Linked DNA regions of Drosophila melanogaster. Changing the gene in region 1 together with any one later gene gives a genetic interaction. Each region holds a gene or a part of one and is shown on either strand. Other genes may lie near its edges.

The links.
Region 2: of RhoGAP92B (region 1) and Cip4, changing one suppresses a phenotype caused by changing the other (phenotypic suppression), as found in Drosophila melanogaster (one study listed by BioGRID).

Annotation. Positions count from the first base shown.
Region 1 is NT_033777.3:19,902,800-19,908,350, reverse strand, and holds the start of RhoGAP92B (Rho GTPase activating protein at 92B), read right to left. Parts: upstream 3,188-5,551; 5' UTR 3,041-3,187; coding exon 2,991-3,040; intron 2,903-2,990; exon of another isoform or gene 2,721-2,902; coding exon 2,464-2,720; intron 671-2,463; exon of another isoform or gene 260-670; intron 1-259. Other genes in the region: Surf6 (surfeit 6), read left to right, coding at 3,563-3,728, 3,783-4,591; ClpX (caseinolytic protease chaperone subunit), read left to right, coding at 5,453-5,510. UniProt on the Drosophila melanogaster protein: GTPase activator for the Rho-type GTPases by converting them to an inactive GDP-bound state.
Region 2 is NT_037436.4:4,360,723-4,366,034, reverse strand, and holds the start of Cip4 (Cdc42-interacting protein 4), read left to right. Parts: upstream 1-2,060; 5' UTR 2,061-2,172; coding exon 2,173-2,287; intron 2,288-2,907; coding exon 2,908-3,008; intron 3,009-5,312. Other genes in the region: CG33514 (uncharacterized protein), read right to left, coding at 1-175, 235-539; mRpS6 (mitochondrial ribosomal protein S6), read right to left, coding at 825-1,223, 1,290-1,334.

The sequences.
Region 1 (5,551 bases):
CACAGAAAATAAGTAGAAATAAGCAGAAATTAGTAATAGATAAAAAGATAAGTCGCTATCCTTTACATAAAGCGGTATTACCACTTTCTTTGTCATCGGATATCGAATTTTAAATTTGCTGCCCCAAAACTCTCTAATCTAAGACAAGTACAAGCGAATCTAACTTCTAAAGGAAATAGAAACTACTATCATTATTTGCTAGCTTTATCAATCATAAAGTAAATGGAAATAGTTTGCTGTGTGTATCACGCAGCCTCTTGCCATTCCCAACTATTACATTCCATTCCACCCGCAAGTGAGGAAGTCACTGCTTATTTAAGACCTTATCGCCTGGCGGTAGCTGCGAAGATGTTGGCGTGCTGGTTGGTTTTCAGTTGCTGGAGTAGCTCCGCTTAGATGCGGGGCGAGATTGGGCCAATCCGTGGGGGAATTGCCCGGCGAATAGGATGACGAGCTGAGTAAGCAAAATTGTGATAATTGTGTTGAGTGCCCCGAGACTCAAGCCTCAGCAGCTGAACCCGCCATGGAGGCATAGTGGAGGCAAAAAGGTCGCACCACAGAAAGCATAGGCAGTTGCAGAGGAAGAGGGTGTCGGAGACGGAGTCCAAAGCGAAGACGACGTCGGCACTGGAGTGTTACATTCGAGATACGCTCGCTTCTAGCTCCCCTTGCTGAATGGCTTGAATTGAAGCGCATCGTGGCTAACAATAAGAGTTGCAAAGGGCGCACAGTGGGTTAAAGTGCGATGATATCTCACCGCAATTACCGACATAACACTGGCGACAAAAAGCTAATTTCGGTGCGGTAATTTTGTGTTTTCGTGGGTCTGGAGCTTGGCAGCTACAACTTGTTGCCTAACATTTAAGTTGCTATGCTCGCAATTAAACATTGATATATTATTTACCAAAGAAATTAAGTTGTAAATGTAAATTACAATGACATATCTCACTATAATGAGGTGTCTACTGTTAAAGTTGAAGCGTCTCTCGAATTTTTTAGTTAAAATTAGAAAATGAAGATAAGCGAATGAAATCGAGTTTGATTTTATAATACGTACTTTCGATTGCTCGGTTTCCGAAACATTTGCAAATAAACAGACGTAAAGTTCGCCAAACATTTGAATAGAAAAGTCTGACAATGCTCTAGGCTTTATAGCCCTTTCAAAAATAATGTTTGCATCGTTTGGCGATCGATTTCCGCAGCTTGACCCAATTATGATTTCCCGAGCATTCGAATGGAGCTTCCACTTAACCCACGGACACACGTTCACTGTGGCTGCGATAGTTGCATGTGTAAGCGTTCGTGTCTAATCAGGAACGTGGGGAACTAAAAAAAAAAAGGGGGGGGGGGCTCTCCAGATCCCTGGCCGTTACACAACCACCGAGATGCTCTTGAATCGCTGCAACTGCGGCAGAACTGGCAATTGCAATTGACGCACACGCATCTGCGAATATGTGGAATGCAGAGTGCCTGAAAGGGGGAAACAGCGAATGGAAATAATACAGGCAAATAAAAATAACACTCGGAATGAGTAATGCGACCTAGGGGGAGCGCCCACCAAATAATAATAAATGAACAGCGAAGAAGAGATCATGACGATACGATGATGTATGAATTTGGCCCAGACTTTTACTTTTACTAGCCACAGCTAGCCAAGCAGCTAGCATAATTATCGCCGTTTACCGGGCTTTGTTATGCCACTTCGCGCGCGATGTGTAACAAATTTAAATGAAATGCATAGTGAATCGGGCAGTGAATTGTATGGAAGCAGGGCAATAAAAACGGGCGCCAATGGGGGCGGGCTAACTTGGCTGGCAAAACAAAAAGGTGTATAAATAGACAATGCCGAAACCGCAAATAATAACCAATACCAATACTGCGGGCGAACGGGCTGCGAAAGAAAGCGGCGAAAAAGTCATAATAAAAATTATAATAATGATTAAAAAACGCCGTCGATGTGGATGTCGATGTTGATGTTGCCGTTTGCAGTTGAGAAATGTAAATGCCACAAGGCCAAGCGACAAGGCGAGGCCGCCAATACACACAGACAAACCGAAGCCCGTGACACAGTCATCCACTGTAGTGTGTTCTCCAAGCCCCCTGCGAACCCGTACTCGTGTTCGTGTGCCATTGTGCATGTCTGGCGGCGATTATCGGATTTGGAGCGAACGACAACCACTGTGCGCCTTATCAGCAGCGACAACATGACACCCACCAGGGCCGTAGGCATGGCTGATTGCCGCTGCAAGGAGGGGCTCTCAGCTGGGAACTATTTTCAGATTGTAAGAAACATCATATGGATGTTTAAGCTAACATGCTAACAAACTATGATAAGCTAGGTACCTAAAGCAATATCAATATAATCACTTGATGAAGAACAAATTCTGTAACTTCCCCCTCTGGCGAATGACCGCCTACGCAACTGCCTGCCTCACTGGAAATCCCGGTTGCCCGATTACTAACCGCAATTGGCGAGGACCTTCTGCAGCGGCATGTCCTTGGGCAGCTCCTTGGCGGACTCGTCCAGAGCCTGGGCAATCTTGTAGTGACTGTTCTTCTTGGTCCGCTTGTCCTGCTCCTCGCTGCTCCCGCTTCCACTTCCGCCTCCGCCGCTCAGCGCCGGCAGCTTGCGGACGATCTTCTCGATGGTGTCCCGGTATCTGTCCACCTGCCGCTCGATCGCCTCCAGCTCCGAGTCCTTGCTGTCCGACTTGCTCGATCTGCGAATGCGAAAAGGACCATTTTGACACGGGTTTAGCACGGGTTAGGTCATCATCGGCAGTCCACTATTGTTACGGCTGTCATCGCGCTTTGTTATTGATGCAGTTGCTCTGTGGCTGCTTCTCTGCTGCTTTTGTTGTTGTTGCTGCTGCTGCTGTTGCTTCTTTCGTGATGAGGCAACACACACCTGTCTGTCCACCTGGAGCGCACTTACACAAACACACACCCACAGACATCCGACCGACAGACTGGCTGGCCTTTGAACTTACCTTGACAGATTTTCGGCTGCTATTTTGATTTTGGCAAACTGCCTCTTCATCTTGGCTGATTCGCTGGTGCCGCTCGCGTCTCCAACTTGAACTGAACTGCTGTGTGTTTGTTTGCGATGTGCAATTAGCTGGGCATTGAGTAAATACTTAAAACAGGCAAATTAGTCATTCTTCAACGATGTTTTACGGAAAAGTGAGGCGGGTGTGACCGCAGCGGGAGCGCTGGGAAATGACAAAAGGCTGGAGAGCGCCTTTTTCGAAAGTTCGTATTTGGTAACACTGTTTGATAAATGCCTGTTGAGATTTCTCAGAGCTTAGGCTAGAATTATGAATTTAAGCAATGGTTAATTAATGTTTATTAAATTTCAATCTCCTTTAATCTGAAACCATTGCTTAAATTCGCTGAATAGGGGAATACCCCTTACTACTTGTAGCGGTACCAGACATTTGCGCTAGGGTAACCACTGTCGAAAACACCCGAATTCTGTGGGGTCACACTGAACTCGACCGCCTTGCTTAGCTGCACGTGTGCGTGCGTAAATAATAGTTTTATTGTTATTTTACTCTCGAAAATGACCCAGGCGGAGATCGTGAAATGTCTGCGGGAGGAGTATGAAATCGAACACAACAAGGATCAGAAGCCGGAGAAGGAGGACCTGCCCGCCATCACCAAAAAGTTCTATCAGCGAGTCTTGGAACTGCTGACCATTCACAAAGTGCCCTACTCCAAACAAGAAGGTGAAACCATTAATGAAAAGCCTTAAATCTTTAACTTTATCGTATTTCCTACAGATGAGGAGACCTACGAAGAGTACCTGCTGTCGGACACGGAGGAATCGGGAAACAAGAAAAAGAAACAACAGGGAAAACTGAAAAACCAAGACTCCGACGACGAGGATGTAGAGGCACGCATTGCCTCCATCAAGAACAAGCTGCGCCAGAAAAAGGGACCCACAACGGAGCGACAGCAGAAGCGACGCGAATCTAAAAAGCTTAAACGCAGCAAGGGCGTCCAGAAACTGCTCCTCTCCTCGGCCAAAAACCTCAAAAACGAGAACGTCAAGCACCAGAAACTGAAGAATGGCGTGGTGAAATCAGAACAGGAGACGGAGGACAGCAAGGAACAGATCCAGCCGGTCAAGGTGCAACCGGTTTACAACCAGGAGGCCAAGATCGTCTACTCCAAGGTGGACTTTGCCGCCAATCCTGGAGGCAAAGCCAAGAAGTCTCACCAAAACCCCAAGGAGATTCTGAAGAAGCTGCGCGACACCAAGAAGCACCTAACCGAACTGCGCGAACAGGGCGAAACGGACAAGGCGGCGGAGATCCAGACGGACATCGCCTGGCGCAACGCATTCGACAAGGTCGAGGGCAAGAAGGTCAAGGACGACACCAAGCTGCTGCAAAAGGCCATCAAGAAGCGGCGCGTGGAGAAGAAGAAGTCCAAGACCAAGTGGACTGAACGCAAGCAGAAGGTGGAGCACGACAAGGAAAAGAGGCAAAAGAAGCGACAGGAGAACCTGGAGAAGCGCAGCAAGGACAAGAAGAACCGGAAACTAAAGACGGCCAGCAAGAGGGGTCGCATCATACCCGGCTATTAACTATGCTTACTATAGCCCTTAAGTGTAAAGTAGTGTAAATGTATGCCACGTTGAAATTCAACTCAGAATGCTTTAGAAAAAAAGTGATCTTTCTGAAATTTACGTTTTTATACTTTCGTGTTAGAAATTTACTTTTCCGGCCTCGACACAGTCAAAATTCCAGTAGACAGCTAAATTCCCAGTTCCAAGCCACACTATTTGGCTCCTCGTTTTTGTCCACTTTGTGTCACTTTGTGTTCCACTGTGCGTTGCGCGGCTTCACCAAAGATTGGCAAGAAGAAGAACGGCGAACAGCTGAGACCGATAACAACAATCGATTGATATCGTAATCGTTTAGTTGGATTGCTGCGATTTTTCCAGATTTTCCGAGTACTTACAAGAGACAAAAAGTGGATCAGATAATGCTGGAGACCCTAGAAATTTGTGGATCTTTTAATACAGTATAGTGACCGATTTGGCAAGAAGAAGCAGAGCGAGTGGGGCAGCCAAAACAACGAGAATCACACGCACGCACACAGCCACAAAAATTACGTGCAGAGCGCAATCTATTCCCCCCATTTTCCACCGAAAATACAGCAAGGCAGGCGGAAAATCATCCAAATTGCGACGCACTTTGGCGAGCGACGGATAACCAACAAGTGGATATAGAAAAGCAATCCCTGCAAAGCGAGGCATCCCCAGCAGAAGTCACAACAATAACTTTGCAGATCAGCAGAGCAAGAAGAAGAAGCGGCCGCCAGCTGAGTAGCAAATCGGTGCAAAGCAGGGGCGCAGGGGAATCCGAGTCCAGGAGCAACTGCAGCGGGCGCGGAGGAAGCGGTAGACGGAACAGAGGCACAGAGGCGGCGGGCAGCAGCCACCATGAGCATGGTGCGGCGGATTATCCTGCTGGGCCCCAAATACAGTGTGTGGGCAAAGGGTAAGTGCTGTGCCGTCTTGTTGTTGTGCTGCCAATCGCAT
Region 2 (5,312 bases), on another chromosome or scaffold:
AACTACTCCATTGACATTGGCGTAGTCGTCCTCCAAAATGGCAATCTCCTGCATTGCCTGGGCCACTTGCATGCACTCCAGCATTGTGTACTTCTCCACTGGCACCAATCCCATGCGCCAGATCCCGATGCGAGGTCCATTTTCATTCAGCGGAGTGGGCAGGTAGATGATGGCACTGAATTGACAGAATTGCATTGATAAATTAAATTAGTTAGCTGGCGTCAAAATCCTTACCCCGTTTGATGAATCTCCCGGAACTTGCTATCCGTGGTGTTGGTAACTCGGAAATAGTCCGGATACTTGGTCTTCAGCGTGTAGTACTTATCTAACTTGGACTTGGCCCGCTCCAAACTGTACTTGCAGCCGCGCAAGAAAGCCACCAGAAACTGATCATCCATTCGGGGATTTAGATGCGGCTGCTGCTCGATCCATGTCTTAAACGCCTGCAGATCGGCTTCGAGACGTTCGGGATCCTCCTTGAGCTGCTCCTTGGCAACTTTTTGCAGCTCTGGCGTAAGTGGACGGATTTGCGGTGACATTTCTAGGTCGTTTGCGGTCAGGAGGAAGTACTAGTGAACTGCTCGACGATTCTTGAGGCACTACCTGGACAATTTACGTTCTATTGATGGTCGATTATACGGAGCTTTATCAATTAATTGATAAGCGTCCGATTGGGCGCCATAAACCAAACAAAGACAAACATTGTGAAAAGTACTAAGATAACAGGCGCATTTCATAAGGAATGCTTCAGTTTGAATTAGCCAAAGATCGAGGAACCCACAACCGGTTTTAGCATACATAATTAACGCGTTTTATTTGGTGTTTTATTTTTGGAAGGGATAGTAGTCCAGGCCGGAGTTGTAGTTGAACTTCTTCTTTTGCTTCTTCTGGGCGGCCGCAATGATCTCCTGCACATCCTTGCGATACGCGGGTGGCAGCATCTCCTCGTGCAGCGTGCAGGGCTTCTGCTCGGGCTCCTCCACCTTGAAGATGTAGCGCCGTATGATGTCGATGTCGCGGCCAAACTCCTCCTTCAAGTCTGCGATCTTAGTGGGCGCCGTATCAAAGGCGATGGTGAAGTGGGTGCCTTCCCGGTGAACCACCCCGTGTTCGCTGACTTTGTGGGGCAGGGCGCGGGATCCCAGGTTCTCCAGCTTCCGGATAATGCCGCCCTTGTCCAGGATGGACTCGGCCGTTCGCCTAATCACGGAAATCAGTTCGGGCTGCGGGCGGTGTACAATTCTTATTTACTTTTATGTAACTGCCGGTGGATTTCATGTGCTACTCACGCGAGGCAATTGGCGGAGCACCAGTGCTAGTTCGTAAGAAGGCATTGTGACCGGTGAATTGTATGAGCTGGTAAGGAATTTAATTTCTTATATTAACGTTGTTTCTCTCAAGTTTTAATTCATTAAAAAGTTAGTAAATCTAATGTAATTGTTGACCCACCAGCTGATAGTGTTAACAGCTGATGCAAGGAAAGTACTAAAAATGATCTAGCGCCTGGCGCACATGCTTACACCTTACAGTGTGCCAAAATCTATTGCTCCAGTGAATTTAATGTTCAAATTAATATATTATATACAACAATAAGCGATGCTCTTGTTACTTTAAAAGCAATAAACAATAATAAGAAGTTTCTTCCAAGCTCAATAATAGCTTTCTTCATCTGTTTCAACGTTATGTTATTCCATAAAATTATTAGTTTTCAAGGCCACAATAATATATTTAAAAAGTCTACAATTAACGTTAAATTATAAAAAAAAATGGGGGCACGTATTAACGAAAGTTTCATATATTTTATATAATAATAATTAAACTTTACAGTTGCTCTCAATATGGGTTCATATCCCCGCTAGATGTTAAAGAGTTAGAAATTAGGTCGCCATCGGTCTCTGGTCACACTGCAAACGCAGAGGTGTGCCTATTCAAACACATTGCGGTCACACTGTGTATTGATGCCGAAGTGAAAAAACGAGCGGAAAGTTGCGAGCGGATAAAATTGTTTTTTCGCACGCCAAAAAGGAGAAACAAATGCTTGCGTTGTGTGAGTGCGGGTGTTTTAACTGTGTGCTTGTGTGTGTGTGCAAATGTCGCCCGAATTATGACGCATGCGAAAGTGCAGGCGCTAAATAAAACCCAAAATCGAAAGAAGTTGCAACTGCAAAGCAAATGCTAAAAAAAAAGTTAGCACAAATAACAAAAAAAAAAACGGTGGCAGATCTAGAAGCAGAGTGCGTGCATTCGGCAATTGCGTTTACTTGTGTGCGTGTGTGTGCGAAATTATGTAAATACAACAATAGTAGAATTCCAATTGTCCTCTCTTTCTGCTTTTCTCAATTATGAAATGCAGTTGCATCGCTCTCTATCTCTATCGCTCCCTCTCTCTCCTCACTCTCTTTGCGCATCGAAATGCCAGTGCATAGAATTTTCTTATTTTGCACTTATCACTAAACAACTCCCAAAAAAAGTGTTTAAATTCTCATTATCTATAATTTCCTTCAACTTCATTTTTCTACCTGCCGCTGCAACTGACACGTCTGCATTGCCACTCTTTTTTGTTTTTACATGCTTTCTTACCTGCCCAACCACCGAAAAAAAAAAAAACAAAAATGAAATATATCTGACTCGAATTGCTCTCTTTCATAGAAAATTAAACATCGCGCCGCGCAACGCTGAAAAAAATATAGAAAAACAAACGGAAAATGAAAACGAAAAAGCAGCCATAAAATTAATTAACCTTTGCGGGAAAATATAAAACAAAAACGAATAAAAGTTCTCATCTTTTGCTCTTCTCCCTCGCTTTCTACCTTTCTCCCTCTCTCCTCATCGTCTGTGGATTACATTATCTTCTGTGGATTATTATTATTAAAACAACAACAACAACGACGGCAACAACAAATACAGTGGCAAGCGGATCGAGCAGAAGCAGCAGCAACAACAAACTGGCCGAATCGGAAAACTCAGCGCAAAACTCCAACAACATGAGTTGGGGCACCGAGCTATGGGTGAGTTTTTCCTGGATTTAGAGGGGCTATATCTTCAGATAAGAAGTCGTATTTCATTGATAAAACAGGGGGTTCCTATAAGCAACAAATACATAGTTCTGCTTGTTTGAGGAGTATGAATGTATACCTATAGCTAAAAATCAAAACAAATTCGTAGTTTAGCTTGATCAGAATCATTAAGGTGTCCATTACCAGCTCAAAGAAGCTGGGGTCGGAAAAATCGAATTTTTGAAATTTGAAAGCTGGAATCGTTTGCCCATTTTTTGCCCATGTTTGCCCACCAATTAGTTTTTTTTGCCCACGTCCAGTTTTTGAGATATGAATTTTCGAAAAAGTTCGAAAATTTTCGAAAATCAAAAATTTCGCTTTTTTCAAATTTTTTTTTTTTAAATCGCAATAACATCGTTTGCCCACGTTTGCCCACCCTTTAGAATTTTGAAAAAATTTATACTTTAGAAAATATAAGGCTTTTAAGTTTACCTCGGTCTAATCAGAGAGTAAATCGTTTGCCCATCTCTTAAAACCAAATATTATCAACAAAAAACGTTTGCCCAACCATTATTATTAGTTTTTATCGTTTGCCCACCCTTTAAAAAACCTTTAACAAAAATTTTTTTTCGATTGCCCACACTTGAAATACAACTAATTTCGTTAGCCCACCTCTTCAAAATAAAACTTTTCAATAAAAAACGTTTTCCCACCATTTAAAAATAAATAATTTCGATTGCCCACCTTTTAAAACTAAATAATTTCGTTTGCCCATCCTTTAAAATTCATTTTTAACGTTTGCCCACCCTTTAAAATTTGTTTTTTTCGTTTGCCCACCTCTTAAAAATGGTTTTTTCGATTTTTCACCTATTAAAACTAAATTTGTACATATGTACATATGTAATAATTGTAAGATGTGGCGCCAAAAGCACAGTTACTTACAAAAGAACAGTTATTTACATATTTACATACATTTTCAATATATCCATAGTGTTAATCATTCATGAATTGTAACATCAATTTTTCTTAATCATTGTTTCATTTCATGGAAAATATTTTATATTGCAATATAATATATATGCAAAAAAATGTATGTATGTTTATCAACACTCTCCAAGCTCAAGAAAATTCTGGAATAAAATATTTTCCATGAAATGAAACAATGATTAAGAAAAATTGATGTTACAATTCATGAATGATTAACACTATGGATATATTGAAAATGTATGTAAATATGTAAATAACTGTTCTTTTGTAAGTAACTGTGCTTTTGGCGCCACATCTTACAATTATTACATATGTACATATGTACAAATTTAGTTTTAATAGGTGAAAAATCGAAAAAACCATTTTTAAGAGGTGGGCAAACGAAAAAAACAAATTTTAAAGGGTGGGCAAACGTTAAAAATGAATTTTAAAGGATGGGCAAACGAAATTATTTAGTTTTAAAAGGTGGGCAATCGAAATTATTTATTTTTAAATGGTGGGAAAACGTTTTTTATTGAAAAGTTTTATTTTGAAGAGGTGGGCTAACGAAATTAGTTGTATTTCAAGTGTGGGCAATCGAAAAAAAATTTTTGTTAAAGGTTTTTTAAAGGGTGGGCAAACGATAAAAACTAATAATAATGGTTGGGCAAACGTTTTTTGTTGATAATATTTGGTTTTAAGAGATGGGCAAACGATTTACTCTCTGATTAGACCGAGGTAAACTTAAAAGCCTTATATTTTCTAAAGTATAAATTTTTTCAAAATTCTAAAGGGTGGGCAAACGTGGGCAAACGATGTTATTGCGATTTAAAAAAAAAAAATTTGAAAAAAGCGAAATTTTTGATTTTCGAAAATTTTCGAACTTTTTCGAAAATTCATATCTCAAAAACTGGACGTGGGCAAAAAAAACTAATTGGTGGGCAAACATGGGCAAAAAATGGGCAAACGATTCCAGCTTTCAAATTTCAAAAATTCGATTTTTCCGACCCCAGCTTCTTTGAGCTTCCATTACCTCCTATATTCTTGGATATTAAAGAGGCGCTTATCTTCAGATAGGCTATATATATTGAAAGGCTCCAAACCTAAAATATAGATAGAAACGACAACATTGGTCTTATTAAGAAATTGTAAGCACTCATCAAAAATTACAAATTGCAAGCCACACAATTTTAATTAATTAAACATTTTTGTTTTGCCAAGCACTTGGTAAATGCAATTAAACTTCTCAAATATTTTACAACTACCAGAAAATAAGCTCGAAATTCCGGTTTTTTAAAACCAACTGACACATTGTTCCTGTCAGAAAACCCTACATTTTCTAATTGGATA